Linked DNA regions of Lepisosteus oculatus. Each later gene encodes a partner of the first gene's protein in a complex. Links are inferred from orthologs where the notes say so. Each region holds a gene or a part of one and is shown in the gene's direction. Other genes may lie near its edges. The genes, in order: ahi1 and tmem237b.

The links.
Region 2: ahi1 (region 1) and tmem237b share a complex: the UniProt entries of both Homo sapiens proteins name them as parts of the tectonic-like complex. The link is inferred for Lepisosteus oculatus from reciprocal best matches to the Homo sapiens genes AHI1 and TMEM237.

Annotation. Positions count from the first base shown.
Region 1 is NC_090697.1:50,190,712-50,202,653, reverse strand, and holds the start of ahi1 (jouberin), read left to right. Parts: upstream 1-6,233; 5' UTR 6,234-6,444; intron 6,445-11,942. UniProt on the Homo sapiens protein: Involved in vesicle trafficking and required for ciliogenesis, formation of primary non-motile cilium, and recruitment of RAB8A to the basal body of primary cilium.
Region 2 is NC_090707.1:34,917,074-34,928,818, forward strand, and holds the start of tmem237b (transmembrane protein 237B), read left to right. Parts: upstream 1-5,684; 5' UTR 5,685-6,095; coding exon 6,096-6,113; intron 6,114-10,294; exon of another isoform or gene 10,295-11,164; coding exon of another isoform or gene 11,165-11,182; intron 11,183-11,745. Other genes in the region: mpp4b (MAGUK p55 subfamily member 4), read left to right, coding at 1,012-1,092, 2,322-2,415, 2,521-2,629, 2,937-3,071, 3,813-4,004. UniProt on the Homo sapiens protein: Component of the transition zone in primary cilia. Required for ciliogenesis.

The DNA of each region.
Region 1 (11,942 bases):
TGTGTGTGCCTTGTGATGGACTGGCATCCCTGAGCCTGTTGTTTGCTGGATAGATTCTGGCTCTTCTGCAACCCCTGAATTGGATTAAGCAGTTAGAAATAAAACATGAAAAAAACATCTGACAGAGTCTGACATGACACTCAGAAAGGGTAGGTAAGGTAATTTCATATGCTGTCAAATAATGAGCTGGCCCACTTTTATCACAAAAGCAGGCTATGTCTCACATGGGGCATTAGAAGTATCTTTTAATATGATTCAGCTTCAGTAGGATTTTAATCAGAGGGACTTTGGGGCTTTTGTAAAGAATACATAAAGCAATTTTTAGCACAATACACATTTTCCATCCAAAATTACACAATTTACTGTGTGCAGTTTCAAGCTTCCATCCAGAGAAAACTGTTACAGATTTGAACATTTAATGGAAAATCTGAAGATCTTTGTATCTTAAATTGAGAGATTTTAAGATTCCATTGACCTACTTGGTCCTAAAGCTAAACTGCCTATTTAGCATACAGAACCCTGTGAAGCCTAAGAGATCACACGATCGGCACATTGGGTTTAGAGGTTAAAATGAATCTACGCTGCTTCTGACACATACTGTAAGTGTTACACTCACATTACAATTTTAAGCGTCTGGTGATCTATACTGTTTCTGTCCCCAATCCTATTATGTCCCAGTGCTAGTAATAGGAGCTCCTCAACTTCTGAACCAATTATTTCCTTGTTATAAAGAATACCATATGGATACTGTTGATTCTGTGAAACTTCCAAACATTTTCTTAACCACTGCTTCCAGCTCAGGGTTGCAGGTCTCAGAGACTCACACCCAGCAAGCAACAGGCACAAGGCAGATAGACACACACACATGCACAAACTTACACCAGGTCTAAGTTTCCCAGAAACCAATTAACTTACCAGTATATTTTTGTACTGCAAGAGGAAACCCACATGAACACAGGGAGAACATACAAACTTCATGAAGACAGCACCCCAGGTCCAGAATTGAACCCAGGGACTCAGTGCTGCAAGCATATAATATCTTTGATATTACTTTGGAATTAAACTGAAATAAACTCAGGGAAAGCGAACGGGATCCAAGATGGGGTTTAACACCTTTGTGTCTTTGTTTTCCCTGCCCTTGACCTCATCAACTGATCTGGAAAACTAGTAGTCTCATCAACAGTCTTGCGAGCATCCAATACATTTTTTTGAGGGCATGAGCCTTTGGGACATTGAGATGATAAAATTTAAAAAATAAAAATAATTTCCATTGCAGGACATACTGTAGCTTTATGTGTTTTTTATTTCTCTACTTAACAGACATACAGTAGATGTGTAAAAATAGACAAGAAACAGATAGAAATGGAGCAGGAAGTGGGGCCTCACACTCTACTGGGCTGCTGACCCTCTGTGCACACTGCCAGTGTAGACTATAGTATTGACTACGAAGACCACAGAACAGGAGGAGCAGGCAGACATCAGATGAATGTAGAAAACATGTTAAAACGCAGCTAGTGTACAGGACCAAGTTTAGAGTTCCTGATGCCTGGCCTACAACTTTTTTTTTGCTGCTGGTCCCCTTGTATCTATACTGATGGAAAAAAGAAACACACCATTTTCTGGAACAAGAATACTATAGTTATACTGTAGCTTATGTACTTTCCCAAAAAGTTGTCAATTTGTTTTAAGCCCCCTGACCAGCAATACGGCTTGTGCAGTGAAGTATTGCAACTTGCCAATCACATGAAAGCTCGTTAGGTGCACTTTTACCCATTGAGGTCCAGGTGGAACAATGCCTGATCAGGTCACCTTTAAAAAGGCCTTAATTCAAAGCTTAGGTCACTGCAAGAGAAAGGCCACACTTAGGTCAGTAGTCAGTTTTCTATGCATTTCTATGCATTCCATAATGCCTCGAATGTCACCAGAAGCAAGGGAGAGGGCCATTGGCATGCTGCTGGTAGGCATGTCAAGGTTTCAGCAGACCAGCAGTACAGATAACCATCCAAGATTCGGTCACCCTAGAGTGACCTCACCAGAGCAGGACCGACACATCAGACTGGTCCATCTGAAACATCTGCCACCCATACTGCTGCTGAAATTTCCGGCAGAAACAAAGCCCACATCAGTGACAGGACAGTGAGGCTCCATGCTACTGACCTTAGAGCAAGGCGACCTGTCAGAGGCCCTCTGCTTACACCTCCTAGACGTTACAACCGACTGGCTTGGTCCAGACAGAGGCTGCGATGGACTCGTCAGCAGTGGCATCAGGTCCTTTTCATGGATGAGTCACTCTTCAGCCTGTTCCATTCAGACAGGAGGGCCAGAGTGTGGAGGAAGAGGTGCTGCATTTCTTTTTTCCATCAGTATATTTATCATATTTGTGTCTGTGTGCCATCTGAGCTGCCTGTGACTCCGTAAAAAACTGATTTCATGGATGCATCTTCAATAATTAATAAGAAGAGAATCTAATTTGTCAAAATAAAAATGTTCTATTTATTTTGTTTTTTTGGTCAGTGGAGAAGCAAGCAAAATGTGTAAAACTGAGCTGGTGGTGATAAGCTCATGAAATGCTACAAATGGGTGTGGACTTTAGTTATAGTCTGACAGACACACAGTACAGAATTAATATCTGAGTGAATATCTGCATCTTACACAAAATTAAATAAAGGATATGGCACATAGCTATCAAGCCATACTTGTAGAAGCTCATGATTCGCATTCACTACAAGTTTTTTTTCCCACAAGAACGTGATGGTTTAATCAAGGAATGCCTAAATCTGGAAGGCGTGACGTCAGCACATTACTCACAAAGTACAAAGGTTAAGCCCATGCTGTGATGCCTCCATTTTTTAGTTCTGTAGCATGGAAAACCCCCCACAAATAAATCTAAGAGAAATTCTGGTGAAGGACTTAAAGTGGGTCTAATGGAAAACACTTCCTTTGAAACACTATTAGATATAAATTTAACTGTTGCTTGTATATGAGTTGTGCACGTCATTTGCCCTGCCTCTACAAAGTAGAGCTAAAGGAAAATCAAGCAAGAAAATATTAATGAATGGGTCTTTATAATTCTACTTTATCCAAATGTTTTAAATATTCCACAACTGTCAGAACACTAATGATAATATATTAAAGGACTCAAACTTAAATATAATATTTTACAATATACTCTTATAAAGTTAGGGTCTCTGGAGCTCATGATTTTAAACATTGATTTTGCTTTCACACAGAACGCCCACAGCAACAACAACAAAAAAGAATTTAATGAAGAGATTGCATGTAACCTAGGAGATACAAAGATGTAGCATAAATGATATGATAAACTCAGCAAGTGACCCCAGCAGGAAGGAAGGAGTCCGCCTGATTTAGTGAACTGGCTGAAAACCGTGCCAATGGCAAAGTTAGCGCTAACCTTCTAGGTTTGGGGAAAGGGTGGAGGTAGATTTGTCTGCTACCTATTAATAACCTACTGCCAACATATATTTAAAGATGCATTTTTTTTATTTTCTGAAGAATCACAGTGGGTCCCTGGAAAAATGCTGTATATCAGTGTGTTAGCACGTACTGTGACACACTGTCAGATGAATTAACTGATAGATAATAAAATTAAGACACTCTGGTGACATACAGGACAATCTTAAAGAGAAGTCACGGTGCTTGGTGAAAGCTCTAAATGGTAACCCAAACCTAAAATGGAGCTGCTCACATACAGTCAAGTTCAATGAATGAAGTACATTTTCCTTTTACAAAAGTGAGCATACAGTAGATCATAATGAAATATAACAGCAATAAATGTATTATAATCAAGTACCGATCAAACGTTCATTAACAATATGTTGAATACTTAAGAAAAGTAATTTAGAAAAGGCATTAATATTTAACACGGATTTTTAATTTTGCATTAGTTAAAAAAAACTTCATCATTTTGAAAGGTTTCCTTTTCATAAAAAAGTGGTTTTGTAATTTAGGTTCTGTGATTCATCTCTCTGATTAATCTCTTAGGTTCTGTTTTGTGCAAATCCTCTAAAATGTTTCGCTTCATTGCTTTGCTAAAGATTTTGTAACCTGATTTGTAATAGAGAGTGTGAAATAGTAAAACGAGTAGTTTATAGATCACACGAAAGATAAATAAATCACATTTATTTCAAGTCACAGTACATGTGTTTTAAGAAGGCACAGGACAGTGGTTACAGAGAGAGTGTTATGGTAGGGGTTAGAGAGAGCGTTAGATTCTGGTAGCTGCTTACACCACAAGGGAATGTTTGAGACGAGTGAGTGGACAAGGCATGTAGGAGAGAAAGGAAAGGAAGCCAGCTGCTAAATATGAGAGGGTGAAAGTGGCAACAGATATGAAGCAGGAGAGGGATAGATTATATACAAAATGAGCAACAGAGTTTTCATTAAATATGGAAGAGGTGGTGCAGATCTCTAAAGTGTGGAGAGCATAAAACAAAACAGCTGAGGTAGCTCAGTCTACAAAATATATGGTTTTGGACCAAAAGTTTTATGGAGCAGATGGCTAAGAAAAGTATGGTAGAGGATTACCTGGTTTGAGTGGTTTCCTCCGGGTGCTGCAGTTTCCTCCCAGAATCCAAAGTGAGTGTGTGTGTGCATGTGTACTGTATGTCTGTGTTTTCTCAGTGTGTACCTTGGTGTTCTATTCCAGTGTATATCTCAGGGTATATCTGGGTTAGGCTCCAGCTCCCTTGTATTGGATAAAGTGGTCAGAAATAGATGGACAGAAAAATCAATAGTAAGCAAGGAAGACGATTATAGAATATATAATATGTCTGACTTGAAAAATATGACCTTGAAGTAGAGGAGTTATTCCATGAGGACATACTGTAACTGAAACACTGTTGCACAAATGCCAGAATTATGGAAGAGAAAGGAGAAAGGAATCTGAGCATTGTTAACAAAGAACAAAGAAGTGGTACCTGTGAAATAAGATTAGACAACCAAGAGACTAGGTGTGGAAGTAAATAAGGTGCCTGGGTGCTGATCCTTGCAGAATAACAGCTGTAGGTAAGCTAAATTAGAGGCAGTAGAATAACTAGAGAGCAGAAAAGATTACCATTCAAAATCACTGCAAAAAAAAAACAATGCAATTTCCAAAGGAGGAGGGAACCATAATACAGTGAAGTGTATCACAAACCACTCATGGAATTAGCACCTAGAGATGAAGAAATGCCTGGCTGATTTGGCCCTTTAAACTGATCCAAGAGACAAACTGAAACAGGTTTCCTGCCAAGTCATAGTTCTGGTTATTTTGTAAAACTAACTGTTTGGAATGAACCATGACCGAACATACATTCATCCCGTGTTATATAAGTAAATGTTTATGCAAAGGAGTTTACAGACAGAATTTCTCATAATCAGGTGGCAAATGCAGGAGCTATTTAGTTTGGTGGTATCTGATCTCCACCTGGTGGCAACAACACAATGCAGCACAACCATTACAGTGCATTGTGCGTACAGTAAATTTACACCAATGATGAAAGGTTTTTCAGTGAAAGTAAGAAAAACAATTAAGATTATGTTCAATAATTTGCAGATAATTAAATATGGTAACAATGATTGTATTTGAACGGTGCTTCTCATGCAGTACAGCACAAAACATCGTTTAAATAGATCAACGCATAAACATACTAAAACATTTCAAACATTATAATCATATTTTGAAATGTTAAGGCAGAAAATTGCTTATAGAGTAAATATCAATGTATTATTACACTAACCAATCACTCAGTCGAGGTTTGAAATATTAAGAAGGCATCGTGTGAAATTGAACGATATAATAATACTTTCAGTTTTAAGCAGTGTCCGGCTTGCACAATTTCAAATATGGACATCCTGTAAATTTAAGCTTAAGTTCAACTCACATTCACCCACCAATGTATGCAAATCACACACTTTAAATGTGATACATATGCCATTGTGCCTTAATAGCAAAACGTAAATTATTTGACAACGTTGCAATTACGTGTGCTTCGTGCAGCCTTTCTTGTTTGGTGTTTTTGCACTTTTAATATATACTCTGTCGAACTAATAAGAATTAAAAATGATGTTCATTCACATTGAAACATGACTACGACTGGAAGATTTAAAAAAGAGCGCACAACAGACCAGAGTCACAAACCCCAACTTTACTCTAGTCTCCTGTAATTTGTTGGTTTCTATGACCCCGCACGCACAGATTTGTTCCCTGCGCCACTGCACAAGACACCCTACCCTACTGTCTGCCGCAGGAGAGGACGCTTGATTCTGATTGGCGACGGCGTGCTGTGGCGTCACACGGACAGCGGCTCTCGCCAATGTTGTTGTTTGAGAAACCATCGTGACGGCTTGACTCCATTGATGCATTTGTCTGTCCTGGTGTGTTGATTCGTGTTTTAATACAGTAAACGACACACACAAAAGTCCGCAGAATAACAATGTACACAGGTACGTGTCTCGAGACTCAGCATGCATTTCAGTATTTAAAATATGAGTTCAGCTTGTTTTGATTGCGGGAGTAAAGTTTGCGGAGGATGCTGTTTTCTAATTATTTTTATGTAGCATCTTGATCGCGATTTCATGTTTGGGTTCTGTTTTCTCAATATGTCATTCGGCACTGTTGCTAAGGACTAGACGTGAGTCATGTTGTGGTGTCTGATACCAGTAGGGTTGTATAGAATTGACTGTTATCTCTCCATCATTCACCGAAACATCACCGTAAAGCTTAAGCTGATGTGATGTTGAGATTTAGAGAAGAGCGTTCAAGTTTCTGAAGTCGCTACATAGGTTTGATTCTTCAGTCAAGAATATATTCGCAAAAAGAAAAAATGTAGTACTCCTGAAATGTAAACTAAGCACTGGAGGAGTAGTTTACCTACTGTATATAACTGGAGGGTTGTGGGTTCGAATTTCGTGTGGGACACTGCTGTTGTCCCTTGAGCCAGATTGTTCCAGTAAAATGTACAGCTCTGTAGATGCAAGCTGCACACGCTGTGTGTGGGATAAATGACAAGATGCTATGATGCTATTGAAATTCAAGCCAAACAAATACATTTAAAACCACTGGTTTCACAGCTCATGACTAGAACTATACTTGGTGTTATTACAAGGTACATGAAGTCTGGAAGTAGTTCTACAGTTAATTTCCTCTGTAAACTAACCTTAAACATTTAATAATAATAATAATAATAATAATAATAATAATAATAATAATAATACACTTTATTTTATATAGCACCTTTAAAGGTGGCTTCTCAAAGCGCTTTACAGGATGACAATAACAATAAATAAGAAGACTACAACAATAAATAAGAAGATTTCACAAGATAGGACACAATTATAATTACAACAATACAACAATAACAATAGGGGGAGACCGTGGAAGGTATTACTAAGAAGAGCAGAGGGGTGAAGAATGGAACCAGTTAAGTAAAGGCTTTTCTGAAGAAGAAGGTTTTGAGTCTGGATTTGAAGAAGTTTAGAGAAGGTGGCTCTCTAATATCCTGGGGCAAAGAGTTCCAGAACTTGGGGGCATAGCAGGAGAAGGCCCTGTCGCCCATACAATGTAGACGGGCTTGGGGGACAATAAGGAGGGCAGAATTTGAAGAGCGGAGGTTGCGAGGTCGGGAGTAGGGCGATAAAAGTTCAGACAGGTATTGAGGTGCCAAGCCATGTAAAGCCTTATAGGTGAGCATGAGGATTTTAAAGTCTACGCGGAATTTGACCGGAAGCCAGTGCAAGGACTCCAGGATAGGAGTAATGTGAACACTTGCACTAGACCTGGTCAGGATTCTGGCTGCTGAATTTTGGACATACTGCAGCTTGTTCAGAGTAGATTTAGATACCCCCAGGGAGTAGAGCATTGCAGTAGTCAATTCGAGAGAATACAAATATGTTGATCATCTTTTCAGCCACAGTAAATGATAGCATAGGGCATAGTCTTGATGGGGGGTACCAATAAGCATGACTTCAGTCTTGTCACAGTTAAGATGAAGGAAGTTTTGAGTCATCCAAATTTTTATGTCAGAGATGCAATTAGATAGAATAGAGACAGCCACATCAGTGTCAGGTTTGGTATGGATGTATATTTGAGTATCGTCAGCGTAAAAATGAAAGCTGAGGCCATGTGATCTTAAAAGCTGACCAAGTGGGAACATGTAAATGCTGAAGAGCAAGGGGCCCAGTATTGAGCCCTGGGGGACACCAGACTTGCCAAGACCAATTTCAGACCTGTATTTAAGTTATTGAAAGATAAGCAGTGCTGAAGCAATGAAACAGACTCAAACTTTGCCTGGTTGTTATTCTCAAACATCCCCAAATAATGTTTTTGTAATGGAAATTTATGATGCACAATATTCTGAATGCTGACATTTCTGAGGCAATATGAAGACCAGAAGAATATTAAGATCTTATTGTTAGAATCTTATTTTTCAGTTACAATTACAACGATAGATTCACAGATAATAATTTCCAGTAGTCCTGGTTACATAAATTCTCATTAGATATTCTAATACTATTGAAAATTCATATCTGAAACCACTGTGTAGGGACTAGATAGTGTAGACATTGCAGCTATTTATACAGTAACTGTGACAGTTAAGGAGCTGAACAGAGTATTAGGTGCTCCATCTCTGGTGTTGGAGGACCACTTTGTAAGTCAGCAGCACCTGAAGAGCTGGGAGAAGTTGATGTATTGGTACAGTTAAGTCAGTAATGAGATGATTTAAGTGCTCAGTTTGAATGAAAACCTCTGTGCTGACATATATTGATATAACAGGAGCGGCATTGGACCACCTGCATTGCTGCATTGACAAGAACCTGTTGTGTTTCTGTAACAAAAAGAAGATAAACCTGTAATTCTGAAGAAATGAGGCAGAAAGCCTTTACTGTATTCAGTTTCCGAAAAGTAATTTTAGCTACATTTGATCATTAGGCATCTAAATGTAATATCAAATGTAGGTAAAAGTTTTTAAAAAACTGAATGTAGGGTTTTTTTCCTCTCTTTATGATTGAGATTACAGGGATATCTTATATTTCTTATATTTGTTACAATAGACACCCACTTATTTTGAGTCAGGGTAATAGTAGCTTGGAGTGACATCCTGGTTGCTCGGGGTACGAGGTGAGACTGCCTCTTCTGAGGGAAGAGATCTATTAATTTGCAATCAGAGAGCATTAGCACTTGCTACTCCTCTTGTAGGCCCTCTAGCCCTCTCCAGTACAGAGCAGCCAACAGGTCAGTGCCTGTTTTGTTTAGTAATAAGAGCTGATTAGTAATTAAAGAAGTGGGGAGCTGTTTCTCACAAAGGAATAGATCTGAAGTAGGCTGTGATACACCATTTTAACCGGAGGGCTATAAAATCCCCATTAACAGGATAAAATTAGTTCCTTCTGCGGTGTTGTAATCAGATTAAATGTATTAGTTAAAGGGATCTGGACAAAGCTGATTGAGATGAAAACTCTGACACAGAACTTGATGATGGGTTGCTATAAACCTGAAACAAAGCTGGAAATAAGATAAGATCACTTTATTGGACATATACAATTTCTTGCATTAGGAATTACTCTTTTTGCATACCCCAGCTTGCTCTCCATGAGACACACAGGCACACATTCGGCTAGAGAGAAGCTTGGAGTCAGAGTGCAGGGTCAGACATTTATACCGGCATCCCTGGAGCAGTTGGGGTTAAGGGCCTTGCTCAGGGGCCCAATGGAGTAGGATTTCCCTGTTGGCCACAGGATTTGAACTGGCAACCTTCCAGCCACAGGCGCAAATCCTTAGCCACATTGCCAGATCAAGACATTGCCTTTCACTGCTGCATTTGTCATTTGTGAGAGTCAGTGAGTTGAAAGTATGATAAAAGGCTAAAGAGATATCTTGCAAACCAAAAAATGTTCCCTTTTGTGTATGAAACCAAACTAATATTTACTATTGATTCATATGGGTTATATCAACCATTACAAAAGAAAATGCAGCATAGAACATGTGAGTTTTGTACTTGAAAGACTGACAATTAATGCCCTGTTAGTATTTACAACTATGACACTTTTGACTATTTCTGTTTTGGTGCATTCAGTCTAATTCATTTCCTGGAATTTATGCTGGATGTGGTTTTCTTTTTTACTCTTCTGTGTTACAGTTCAGTGAAGTTAAGGGCAGTGGCTGATGATGATAGCACATTGCAAAATGTTTTCAAAGGCAGAACTTTATTTAGTTCAATTTGTGTGTTTATTTTCTGTCATTGCAATGCTGAGAAATAAGTCCTCTCCCTTTTCCTGAGGGTATTGCATGACATTGTGGTGGGATTTCTTATGAGGTGAATGCTTTGACTTCTATTTATAAGGATCTGATGGCCCACTGGAGAGGTTGGTGGTCCATATGTCCTTTAATTGTACTTAACAAAAGAAGGATTATAGGCACAAATTTTGAAGATAAGGACAAATGTATTTTGTTCTTTTGTTTTCTTTTTTTTTTGAGGTACAGATATTAAGCAAACTTTTTAATGCATTTCAATGCATGACATGTAGGAAAAAACAATTAAGAACTATGAATATTTTATTTGTAAATGAATATACTGTATGTGATTAGAATGGGTATACATTTGTTGTGGTGATGTCTGGGAAATACTGATTATGATTTATATCACACTGTCCCCAAATTCGTTACATTTAGGGCTTGTGCAGGATTAGTGAATCTTTGAAACTGTCTGCTATAAATAAGGCAATTTTAATAAATGTAACAATAAAGGTAATAAAATATCCCCTATAGTAAGGAGTGATTTTGACTGTGGATTTGTGCTTTCTTTGTTCCTGGCAAAGGTTAATGGAGGAGTAATAAAATGAAGACAGTCCTAAAAGACAGACAAAAGTTTATTTACGAACTTGAAATGTTAAAAGTTTGAAAAGGTCTTGTAAATGTTGGTCAACAATGCAAAAGATGTAAAGCAATTTTTACAAGTTATAAAATGGCTACAATTTTTTTCCTATTGAGACAGAATCATTCATTCATAAAAGAAAAGCAGTTGTAATCACAGGTCTTGAATAAAAAAGTTGAAACTGGAGAAATTATGTATTTGGAAACAAAGGTCATCTGTTAAATAGAAACTGTAGTCCCAATTTCTCAGACTGGTGATTAAATCTCGGTAACAAAATAAATTCATTGATGGTATAGAAGAATTTAACAAATGTCAAATTAAGCAAGAAATTGTGAACTTTGTGAAAGTACTGTAAGTCGCCATGTTGTTGCAAATCCCTGGTATCGCCATGGTCGAGAGTGAGGGTTCGTGAGAATTGTAACGTGACGCGGCCCTTCCTGCTCACTAGTCACTGTAATGACTACTGCAATGCGATATACAAGCGAATAAGTACAGGTTGTGCGGCAGATACGGTATTTCACTGCAGAAATGTTCCAACGTGACCTGCATGCAGAGTTAACAAGTAGTATCTGTGGACAAAACCATCTCGAAGTCGAGAGAAATATTTCTGTTGGATTAAAAGAGATGTGTTCGCAAGCCTGCTTCTTGACAATGTAATAAGGCCACTTCACATCACCGGAACTTATCTTGCCTTGTTCTGAATTCCAAAATATGGCGCAGTGCGTACCTGGAAATGTCGTCTATTTTGTGATGTAAATTGGAGGTTTTATGTGTTACTGTGTACGTTTTACTTTTATCGTGGTTTGAAATGCGCCTGTCAATGCTGATTCTTTCTCACCCTGAAATATAAAAATAGCATTGCTGTTCCCCTTTAAAGCATGGATCTAGTGACAGCCATGTGCTTCTGAGTCACTGAACCAGTAAAGGCTCTCCCCAGGGTACAGGTAGATGATCACCAGTTTGCACCAAGGTCATTTCACTAGTCGACTGTTCCAGGGTTACCCAGCAGTGACTCGCCATTGGTTGAGCCCCATTAGGGGTAAGGTAGGATTAGTCCGTTAGGGCTCTTTT
Region 2 (11,745 bases), on another chromosome or scaffold:
TAACTAGCCACGCACATTGGTGTCCATATTACTGTATATTGCTGGTTCATTTTTCACTAACATAACTTCCCACTATATGGGTGTATATTAGGTGTCAGGAGCAATATAACTCAGTATAACTCAAGACAAATGGCAGCTTCAGGAGAGTTAGCTGTGAATTTAATGGATATATATCTCTAAGACAGATCCTTTGCAGTCACAGATGCCAGTGCCATGTGTTTCTCTATATAAATACACCGCCCACAAGCCTGCTGATGATGAATTTCCTCTTCAATCAAACTGTAGAATGTACGTCTTGTAAGCTGGAGGTTGTAAAATCAAGCTCCAGCTTGTACACGACATAGTCTCGACTCTCAGAAATGCTTCAGACCCCCCTGGATTTTATTCCGACCAAATCATTAATTATCTAACCTAAAACCTTACGCAGAACCTTAATGCGTACGAGGAACTCCGATCAGCAGAAAACACACGATCCCTACCAGTGAACAGAGATCATCAATCACAGTTACATATTCTTAAAAGTCAAAGGTAGAGCTGATCACACACCAAGGAATCAAGAAGTTCAGTAAGTACATTTTAGAGATACATTCTCAAAACTCTGGACTTGAGTAATAACATTGCAGTAACATGGCCTTGAACATTGTGCAGCACCCAGACAGACACTTATTCATGAGGACTTGAATACCGTATGTTCAGTATATTTTGATCTGTTGAAGGAACACTGCACATCTGTGCTCTTACTGGGAGCTGCAGGGCTCCATATTAATTTAATTAGGCCAATTTAAACTTTTCCCCAGGGCTTAAAGCTGGAGAAAGAAGGATTTCTGCACAAATGTGTAGTGCAGGTGCTCTCCTGGTGTTCCACAACTCTAGCAAAATTCGTGTTTTCAGAACACCCCTTATGCTAACGTTCAGTGTTTCCTGTGCCAAAATGAGTTCTCCCTAATACTCTGCTTGTGTTCCCCGATAAAGTAAGACATATATCCGGATCTTTGTGCTTTATTTTCTCAGGTCCCTCTGGAGTCGGGGTGAATGAGCTGCGGAGGCGTCTGATTGAAATTAACCCCAAGATCTTTCAGGGGGCCATTCCACGTACGTGCTCTGTTTACATGTGGTTTGGGCGTTCTTCAACATTAAGGAACATTGCTGGTGATCTAGGGGTCTTGCAATGCTAAGCCTAATCTGAAAAGCTTTAACTGACATTTAGATTGCTCTCAATCCTTAACACCTTTGTGCTTTGTTTGAAAGATTGCTCCTAACCCTGCTTTAATTCAATGTGCAACAATTGTGAATTTGAATCATATTCAGAAATTGGGAAAAATAGTGTTTATCTCAGTGTTTGCCCCAAGCGCAACATTTAGCCCAACATCAACTATTGAGTTTCATCCTCCCTAAACAATAAAGCTCCATGTAACAAATACATCACTTAACAATTAACAAGAAAGACTTACTTGCCACATTCAAACATTTCCTCATTTGTTAAAAGAGAAAAGTTTAAGGGCTTATCAGAAAAAAGGTTTTATATATTTTCAAGGTCTTGACTCCTGAAATAAGTTTTCAGATGATCTGCACAGAATTTAAGTACAGGAGAAAATAAAGTAAGCTGTTTTGTTTGTCAAAGTGCTAACTGTGCAAAAGACCATCACCACAGCAACTGCAGCTGTTTAAAACAGTTGATCTGTTATTTATTGAGTTTTGTAACACAATATATTTTCATTTATCAAAAAAGCTAAAACCTAATTTTTGGTGGCTCATCTGATTTTATTTGATGTGTCACCAGACTGAAAATACATTTTGTTAAAGTGTGTGGCAGTCATTTTCTTCTTAGAATACAAAACTGCCCAATTAGTTTAATTCTGTATTGAGCATATTGACTTACAGTGACATAAATTCACTGCTCGCTGTGAACCGATTTATATCAACCACATATTTTGGGTTGGCATTGATACTAACTTATAAGGAATCCAAAGCTTTTGTAGAAGTGTTCTTTTCCTTTATTTTTCAATTTGAGATTGGTGCCTGTATAATAAAAAATCATATTATTGTGATGAAATACAAGGGATTCTTATTGTTTTGTAACATAACCTAGCAGCTTATCTTGGGAGAGTAACGCAGTTTGGTCATTTAAAGACTGCTCAGCAGGCAAGTATAAATCTGTTCAAGGATTATTAATTCCAAAAATTTTTAAAAACAATTGCTTTTAGCCTGAGTAATGGCTTATCAGTAGTGTAACCTTTTTAATGTTGTATTGGGCCAGAGCCGTTGTAGGTTTTGGTGTGTTTAATTATTGCTGTTGTCTAATGGGTAAATTTCTTAAACAGACACAACCCGACCCCCAAAGAGCTATGAGGAGAATGGGAGAGAGTATCACTTTGTAACCAAGGAGTTGTTTGAGAACATGATTCACAGTAACAGGTACTATTTGTTTCAGTAACACTTCAGTACAGGTACAGTACACAGTTTCTTGTGTAGTTTCAATAATTGAAATACAGTAACTGTTTTGCTCTCTGTGTTTGAAAGGTTCCTTGAATATGGGGAATATAAGGGCCATTTATATGGCACAAGCATTGACTCTGTCAAGGAAGTTCTGGAGAATGGAAAAATTTGCATAATTGACCTAGAGCCACAAGTAAGAATTTCTTACTACTTCTTCAACATGTTGTGATGTGAACTTCATACACAATTTGACCTGATGTGACACTTAAGTAAACAAATCAATCGTTCAAGCGTAATCTTGCTGACTGGAATTGTACAACAGAATGACGTTGTGTTGGGGAAAAAATTACAGAAAAAATTATGCTGGAATTCTGGAATTCTTTTAGGTGTTCTGCAGCTCCTGCAGGCCTTGATTCATAGCAAACAACTTTAAACTTTATCACAATATTTGTGAAAAGCTAAAAACAACAACCATTAATTGTAGTAAATCTGTTTTACAGGGCATTCAAGGTGTGAGGACACATGAACTCAAAGCATATATCATATTTATTAAGCCATCCAGCATAATTCGCATGAAACAGACAAGGAAGAGTGCCCGTATCATCACAGATTATTACGTAAACCGGCCTTTTAAAGTAAGTTTTCATTTTCAAAATGTATTTTTCTTGTTCTTTGGGAAAATACTTGAAGGACAGATTTGTCAGCCTTTAGGAATCTTCTTTGTTCCTTTTCACTTGTTGAATGTGTTTCTGTACTAATCAGTATAGAATCAATTAATAAGCGTATTTATAGCGTTGCTGCATCAAAATACTGTATTTTTATTACAAACTATAGTATACTCTCCCGTAATGGTAGAAGTGCAGACTGAAGTTTGGAACAAATGTTTCTTTTGCTATATAGTACTGACATTTTGGTGACAATGTACAGTATACAGGGGAAAACTCTATTCTGGTATTCAGTGCACCACACAGACTGCTTCCTTTGGAGTGATGCTGAGTGGCTATTCCAGAGAGGGCCACTATGAAGAGCAAAGCATAAGTGATATACAGGTTATACATGGCTCAAACGCAGACTGTATCATTAGTCAACAGTGACTGGGTTTTTTCCAAGTGGTGGTGCACAATGTTTTCACAGCTTGGTGTATAACAACAATCCCTGTGAGTTAGTGGACAGAGGTGAGCTTGTTGACTCCTCCAATCACTTCTCTGCTGTTTGTAATGCTTTTAAAGTTGGGTTGCAGAGCTCTGTACTTGAGCAACAGAGAATTGAAAATCCTACTGAACGGAGAGAAAGGGGCTTTATAATTCCATTGTTATTTTAAAATATGAAAAAGATGGTGCTGGCGGACGGTGCTAAAATGGTGCTCTGCTTCACAGGAGGAGGATTTCCAGGAAATGGAGGAAATGGCGAAGAAGGTGGAGGCCCAGTACTGCCAGTTTTTTGACCACGTGATCGTAAACGACAGCTTGCAGGACTCCTGTGTCCAGCTGTTAACCGCTGTGAGGCGGGCACAGGACGAGCCGCAGTGGGTTCCAGCTCTGTGGCTCAGGCCTGCAGAAGAGTCCTGATAGAGGAGAGGGGAAAAAGGGACAAACCACACCAAAACACAGGGGTAAACCTCATCCTAGCCCAGAGACTGACTGAAACTGTGAGCTTCACTAACAGTATCTAAAGCATAACCTCAGTGCTAGAACGATGCAGTGTGCTCAAAGTTGTTTCAACGTTTTTATCAAGTTGAAGGACTTTTTAATGACCCATACATAAAAATCCTAAATGCTGGCAGTATAACAGCAAGGTTACTGTTAGAGGTCTCCTTGCAATATGGAGAATTTAGGGGCCAAAATACTTATTTTTCCTGTATTTACAGTATCCTTGAGAACTCTGGGAATCCTTTATTTTCCCTGTGAAATGACTCCAGTATGATATCACCTTTAGAATTGTTGAAGGAGTTTTACTGTATATCAACCATAATTCCTGTCCTTGTCCTTGTCCATGTCCTTAAATTAGACAGAATTCTTCTTGCTTTAGTTCCTGAGTGATGTTTTGTTTTTCAATTATTTAATCTAATTTATATTACAATATAGCCGGATTTAATGGTTTGTGGCAGTCTAGATTCCTACAGGAGGTCGCCATAGTGTGTGTTAATGGGAAACGCCTGGCTTTAGAAAGGCACAGAGATTGTGAGATTTTACAACAGGATATTTATACGATGTACCAAGAACAGCCCAATAACTTGTGTTTTCGTTATCCTTTAAAATGTACTTATTGACCATGATATTTGATTTGAATATCACTGTTCAATTACATAAATCTGGGTTTCTACAACTTTTAATGCTGTCCTTTATGCCATAAGGTTATGTCGTAGTATCTGTGATGAAAATTTAATTTACTAATTTTGGAACACCTGCCTGTGTACTCAGGTAATACAGACGGTTATAAGTTAACCTTCTCAGCACAGGCTAGTCATAATGACTGTTAGATCTTTGCAATTTTTATGTATACCAAGATAATTGTGGATTTTATTGTACACCTTTGTATTTTCTTTAAGTGTATGGTTTAATAATTTATTTCTAAATGTAAGAAGAGAGTAATGTTTTAAGTGGTTCTGAAATTGTTTAATCATCAGTTTTTCAATAGTTCTAAAAACAAATCAGGGGGATTTCATTGCATCACAGACCGCTCCAACATACAGTATAAGCCGAATTACTGATTTGTGAATTCATTTGTATCTAACCTTAAAATTGTGATCTGAAATATAAACTCTTCTAGTTTATTCATCACCTCAATATGGAATTTATAAAACAATCTATAAATTCTTTTTATAGAATAAATGACTTTGACTTTGAATAATCTACATATATTTGAGTGTTTTCTTGTTTTACTGTATGTACCACCATTTTTATTTAAAAACACCAAAGTTAATTACAGAACCTGTGGTACCACAGTGTGATTTACTGTAATTTGAATCTTTAAGTTTTCTGAGAATCCAAAATACAATGTTAGCCGTTTTTTTTTTAAAAAAAGATTTCTGTTGTCTAAACATTTTTATTCGTTTCTTTTTTAAGTAGGTTCTGCTGTTTTTGTGCAATATTGGTAACAAAGAGTGTTATATGAAATATTTTAATAATATTATTAAATGCTGAATTGATTGATATTTAAGCTGTACGTTTTGTGGTTGGACTGAACATTGTCTACTCTGCTCCATTTAATGTCATTAATGCGGATTAACGTGTCGTCATTCGAACCGAAATCTTCATACAACTTGATCCCTCTCGCCATTTTTAGAATACAAATTCATTATTCATTATTAACAGGTCCCCTAAATGAGAAATCCAGACATTTTCAGGAGGTAAAAAGATTTAATGAAGTATCAAAATCCTAACGTTGGGTGTTTGTCACTACAATCAGAGCTTCCCAGGTGCGTCCATCTATCCAAGAAGATACGGGATGATGGAAATTGCGCTTGTATTACAAGAAATAATGTAGCCGTGATTTAACCCGGAAGTAGACATGATTGACCTCCCACTGGCTCGTCGCTCTAGCAACAACGGTGTACAACAGCATGGAATTTGGTGTTCTGATTGGCAGTTTTGTTGTTATTCTTCTTTTTGTACAGTAGTTTTCTATCTTCAGAAGCTTGTTGTATTGACTTTTTAAAAATGGATGAAATTCCACGGGTAAGTGGTTTGAAATAAAATCGATCGAATATGAATGTTGAAAAAGGTGTAGTTGCAAAAGTTTAACGAGAAGCCACCTCACTTTTGTTGATTAAGATGGGTGATTATTTAAAATGTCTTTCGTGTTCATAGATTGTATTTTCAGTCTTGAAGGCCGAAAATTTTGTAAAAGTAATACTGGCTGAACCGTTTGTATTTAGTTTAGCCAGTATATACACACTAATGTCGATTAAAGTAAAATATATATTTTAAGCAATGAAGTGTCATTCTTTAATTAGAAAAAAAACATTCCCTTTAGTTTCAAATACTAGTACCAGTCGTTTTCATTAAGTATACATATTTCACGATATTATATACAGGAAGAGTTTCAAAAATGTTTGGTGCCCTAATATTTTTAAAGCTGGTTTGAAATCTATCTTCTATCCTTTTAACGGTATTGTCCATCTCGGCAGTAATAGCTGTTTTTGCATTAACTAGTACTCGCCTTGAATGAACACGGCGACAACAAGAACTTGCACTGTTGTCCTTTAAAGAAATGAAAATTGTATAAGAACTATGACGTTTATTTCAGTATTCTCTGTAATATGTAATAGCCCATACACGAACGCACATCATGAATGCGACATTCAAGATAAGTGAAATATTTATTGGGTTTAAAATATCAAAGCAAATGTGAACAAACATATAAATGCAGATTTGTCTAAGATGGTATCCAGAAAAATGTCTTTGCTCTTTGCCTGTTATTCCTTCCTTGTGAGCCCTGCTTTGCACTACAGTCCCAGCTACACAGCTGCTGGCTTTGATCCAGCCCGGATCTTGATCCTTAAGTAAACTAATAAGTCGTTTGTTTGGACTGAACTCTACAACACTGTAACGGTTGTTGCGTCCTCTGTACGTTTTGTTAGGAAGGATAAGGATTTGTTTTACCTGGATTTAAATCTGGCTTCCAAAAGAAGGATACATCGCACAAGGAGACGACTCCCTTACAAGGCCGGTGTTAGATTTGCTCCTGTATGTTGCCAGCAGAGGGCGCTGTCGCCACAACCACCTGGTAAATTTCTTTCAACCAAAATGTGGTCATATGCTAGCACGCCTGTCTGCACTTATCTGTGCAGTTCTTGGATCGTTTCTTTTTCAGGAAGGGATTTTTACTTCATCCATCTAGTAAACGCATGTAAGCCCTTAAGAGTGATTACCAATGAGAGGAGTTTATTTGGCCCTTCTCCATATCCCCAGGGATACTTTCGACAGCGTGGCTGGTTAGTATTTGGCAGACTCCTACAACTCTTTGTGTAAAGATGTGCATCCCTGATTTCCACCCTAGCTTTACTGTTGATCCTGAGGCAGTTCTCTCTGAAGAAAAATGCTGTGCTCATTTAGTCTGTGTGAGCATTACACTGTGAAGTATACATTTTGGAGGATTTTAAGTCCCTGGTCTAGGGACTGATTAAACCCTACAGCTTTATTTTGTTTCAAAAAGGGGAAAGCAAGCTAGAGCCCAGATAGTGGAGGTCTGCAATTTAAAGGTGCCCTCTAATCAAAGGCTTTATGCCATGAACTCAGAATGGGATCCTGTGAGAGAGATTTGTAGCAGTATTGTTTTTTCAGGTCTTTTTTGGGTTCACTTATGGCCCTGGGGTCCTGTCTGTGTGGAGTTTGTATGTTCTCCCTGTGCTCTCGCAGGTTTCCTCTGACTGCTCCAGTTTTGTCCCACAATCCAAAGACATGGTGGTAGGTTAACTGACTTTTGAAAATTGGCCCTTATGTGAATGGTGAGTTTGCACATGTTCGTATTTGTCTGTGTGTGTCCTGCAATGGACTGGTGTCCCATCCAGGATGTAGCCTGCCTTGTGCCTGTTGCTTACCAAGATAGACTGCTGCTCCCCTACAACCCTGAAGTGAATGAAGTAGTTAGAGGATGGGTGGATATTGACCCTAATGAGCTGATTATTTCTTTAAAGTATTTTTTTCCTTTTTAGTTTAAAAGGAAAAACATGAGGCCTTTGAATGTTATTTTTCAAACTAAAGCAGGGACGCTAGCTGAAGATCGTCTCCGCACCTACCAAGGTCAAGTGCTAGCATACAAAATTTGCAGAATAATTCAGAAAACAATGTGAAAAGAGAAGATGGAAAAAACAGGAAAATGCCAGTTAAATATAAGATTGCTATTAGTTTTACACAATATCCTTATTCAAGCTTTTAACCACACTGGATTTATTAAATGAATAATTTTCCAGATTGAAGAATTTGTCTCTGTACTTTTACGCTGTGACAATCAATTCTAATGAAATGATTATATCACATTCTAAGTAATGGCACAAACTAGCTAGGAGGCAGATGCTAAAAACAGCAAAACAGCAGGAGGGGCCTCTTTCACATTAAATACAAGTAATTAATGAAAGGATGGTGTGGAATGGAGCGAACCTTACAAAGACTGTAAAACCTGTTCTTAACACAGAATAGCCAATCGAATTCAGGATTTAAAAGTAATTTTATAATGGAGTGATTTCCTTTAGAATCTTGTTTAATGACCGCATGTGTGCTTTTGCCAATAATACTGCCTGATGCGATGGAGGAGCTGGTGAACTCTTTTAACACCTGTTGGCTGTTGTCCAGCTTATTTCCTCTTGCTTTCCCTTTCTTATTCATTACTGTTTAAATTTAACTGAAGAAAAAACAATACAGGTCAGCAGTTCTGTAAGTCCCTCTGAGAAAATCAGTGCGCTGATGTGCATTTTGATATAAATTCACTTTTTTATATAAAATGCGTCCTCGGACAATTTTCTTTTTAAGAAGTATACAAAAGCAGTTATAAACCATACCTCTCAATGTCGATGTAGAACCCCAAATATGTTGTATATCTGTGCTGACTAGGCTATCTGTTTGAATAGTTTGTAAAATGGGGAAGTTAAGCCTTATCTACTGTGAAATACCATCTTTTGCAAACTGCTAGACCGCTTACAGAGTAACTTGGACATCCGCTGCAAATATACAGCTTTCTTAGAAAAATGAGAAAATCAAATAGCTGTTTTATGCTAGAAAGGTGACTGCTATTGCATAACTGTGAAGAGTTGGTTACCCCTAATGTTTTTGTACACCACTTGTTTGGCTTCTGACCTTTATCAATAACAAATATGTTCCCGTTTTTCCTCACAAACGTTTGCTGCTCGTAAAGATAACCAGCCTTTTAATCTGAGGTTCACTACACATGGATGTAAGTAAAATGTGCTTCAGCTTTTAAAACTTAAAACCTGCTATGATGTGTTAATATTTGTAAATTAAATGTCGCCAACCCAGACTCAAATTGCGTTTCTCTCCCACTAACTGTAATGATTACAAGTCAGTTTTGATTGTAGAATAATCCAGAAAATAATCAGCTGCTTATTCAGTAGTTTATCTCTTCACTCAGGCAAGCTCCCCTTTGAAGCAGGCATCAAAGTTGGCTTAAAACAACACATTTCAAAACAACACATTTTGGTTGTTTAGCCCAAAGGTAACAAGCATTGAAAATGCATGCGTGCATAATTTTCACTTTCATGGGAGGTGAAATTGTTCTTTGCTCACTAAATTAAATACAGCATTACCACCATCTTGGTCTCATCTAACCTCACAGACACAGACACTCAGACCCAGAACCAATTTTCCCAGATTCTGTTTAATCCACCAGTAGGCTTTTGGACTGAGGGAGAAAACTGGAGCTCCTGGTGGAAACCCACATGAACATGGGATCACATATAAACCCCATTCAGAAAGCACCCCAGGAATTGCAGGGACGCAGTGCTACGAGGCAGCAGTGCTAACCACTGAAGTGCCACTTTACTGGAGAGCAGCTCATGTAAATTTCAGGCAACCAGAAATCAAAATATCCAGTGCCATCTCCAAAAAGTCTTTGAACATGAGGCATTTTAGAATTGTATTTTTGTCTCGGTGCAATTCAAACTTTTGAAGTTGCTCCCACATATCTTCCTATTGCAGAAGCTTGCACAAGTATTTAAAGACTGAAAAAGTTCTATTTAATCCTACCAGTACTCCCTCTTCCATATTAAAAAAAAACGCTTGCAGATTCTATGTAGTGGGAAGATGGTAGACAATCTTAGAGCAATGCAAAACCTTTGGCTGTAGCTGTACTTTATCCTTCCTTATTTTGTGTTAGTAAGCTCTTTTCATCATATGCTTACCCCAATAAGCTAACTTTTTATAATGCTAAACAGTGATTTTTGTTTTTGCATAAGATTTGATCATTTTAGTTTTTGAATTTCTGCATTTTATTTTTCATGGCTAGTAACTCTTTCTTTTGGTTTCTGAAATTACCCTATATGTAATAACCTTGCTGTTCTTGTACTGGATAAAATGCATAATATTTCCTTAGGAGATAGTCCTTTCCATGGCAGACATAGAATAAATGAAATTGACATTCTCACAATCTCGCTATTTACATGAAATTTATCATTTGCAAAAATAATATGGTTCATACAGAAAGCTAACAAAATGAAAGATAAGGCCGTCGCTGGTTGGAAGAAAAACACCAGTGCAGTGCTAAGCAAAATGTAACGGCATGCAGACACTGTAGGCATTATACAAAGTAGGCAGCCTGTAGTATCTGTAGCGAACACTGCAAGCTTGAGAGTGAAGGACACAGAAAAGAAGGAATTTTTCCCATCTTTATATAGCTCCTTTTTGAGGCATTTGATTTAGCTGTTATTCCCCAGTGTGCGGGCCCCTATGTTACCCCTAACCCTGAGATTAGGTGTAGCTTCAGTTTTTGTAATGGCTAGGATCTTGCAAAGATGTTGCGATTTCCAGGACCTGTTCCCAAAATGTAGATTCTGTTCAGATTGTTATTCCTCAAGTCCTGCTAGTTCTTTTGTCATTGGCCTTTCCTTACGTGTAGACGTGCACACCCTAAATCCCAGTGATTTATGCCTTGATAATCCCCTCTCCAGCAGATGTACTTTTGCACAGATTTAGAATAGGATTAGCAGGACGCAGCAACGAAGCAACCCAGCCTGCAGTAATAGGCATTCCCTGGGCACGTTCTGACTCTTGACACAATGGGGAGAAAACAAGGGGTAAGTCCAGCCTGTTCCTCTCTTAAAATCTACCCAGCCTCGAGGTCCACACTGCAGCAACAGAGACGAGGACCCTTCCAGGGAGATATGAGCGCAAGTTGTATTCATTCTGTGGGATTTGCAAGGCAGTAGACCTTATCGGTTACATTAATTAAAACTGCAGCATGCAGTGCTCCATTGCAAGTTGTTAACATATTATTTTGAAACCGAGCTCTGTTCATGAGTCAGACATCATTAGAAATCCAATTAGGCTACCGCTCTGTCTGTAAAGGACCTATTCTATTTAATATTATGATTAGTTTTTTCCCCAGCTGCTTTGCAGTGTCTTTTTTTTTTTAAATTGTAAAGGACTAAACATCAATCATGTAATAAACCTTATTATTCAGCTTATTAAGTACTGCAGTAGCATTTCTAATGACTGTATTTTCTGTATAAAATTAGGATCCATATTTCGCCATCTGTACGTTTTGATGACATTATTTTTGTTCCTTGATAATTGCACATTTATCAGTGGCTGTTTAAGTAAAAAAGCTCTTTTAAAATGCTCCACACTGCTGACAGCT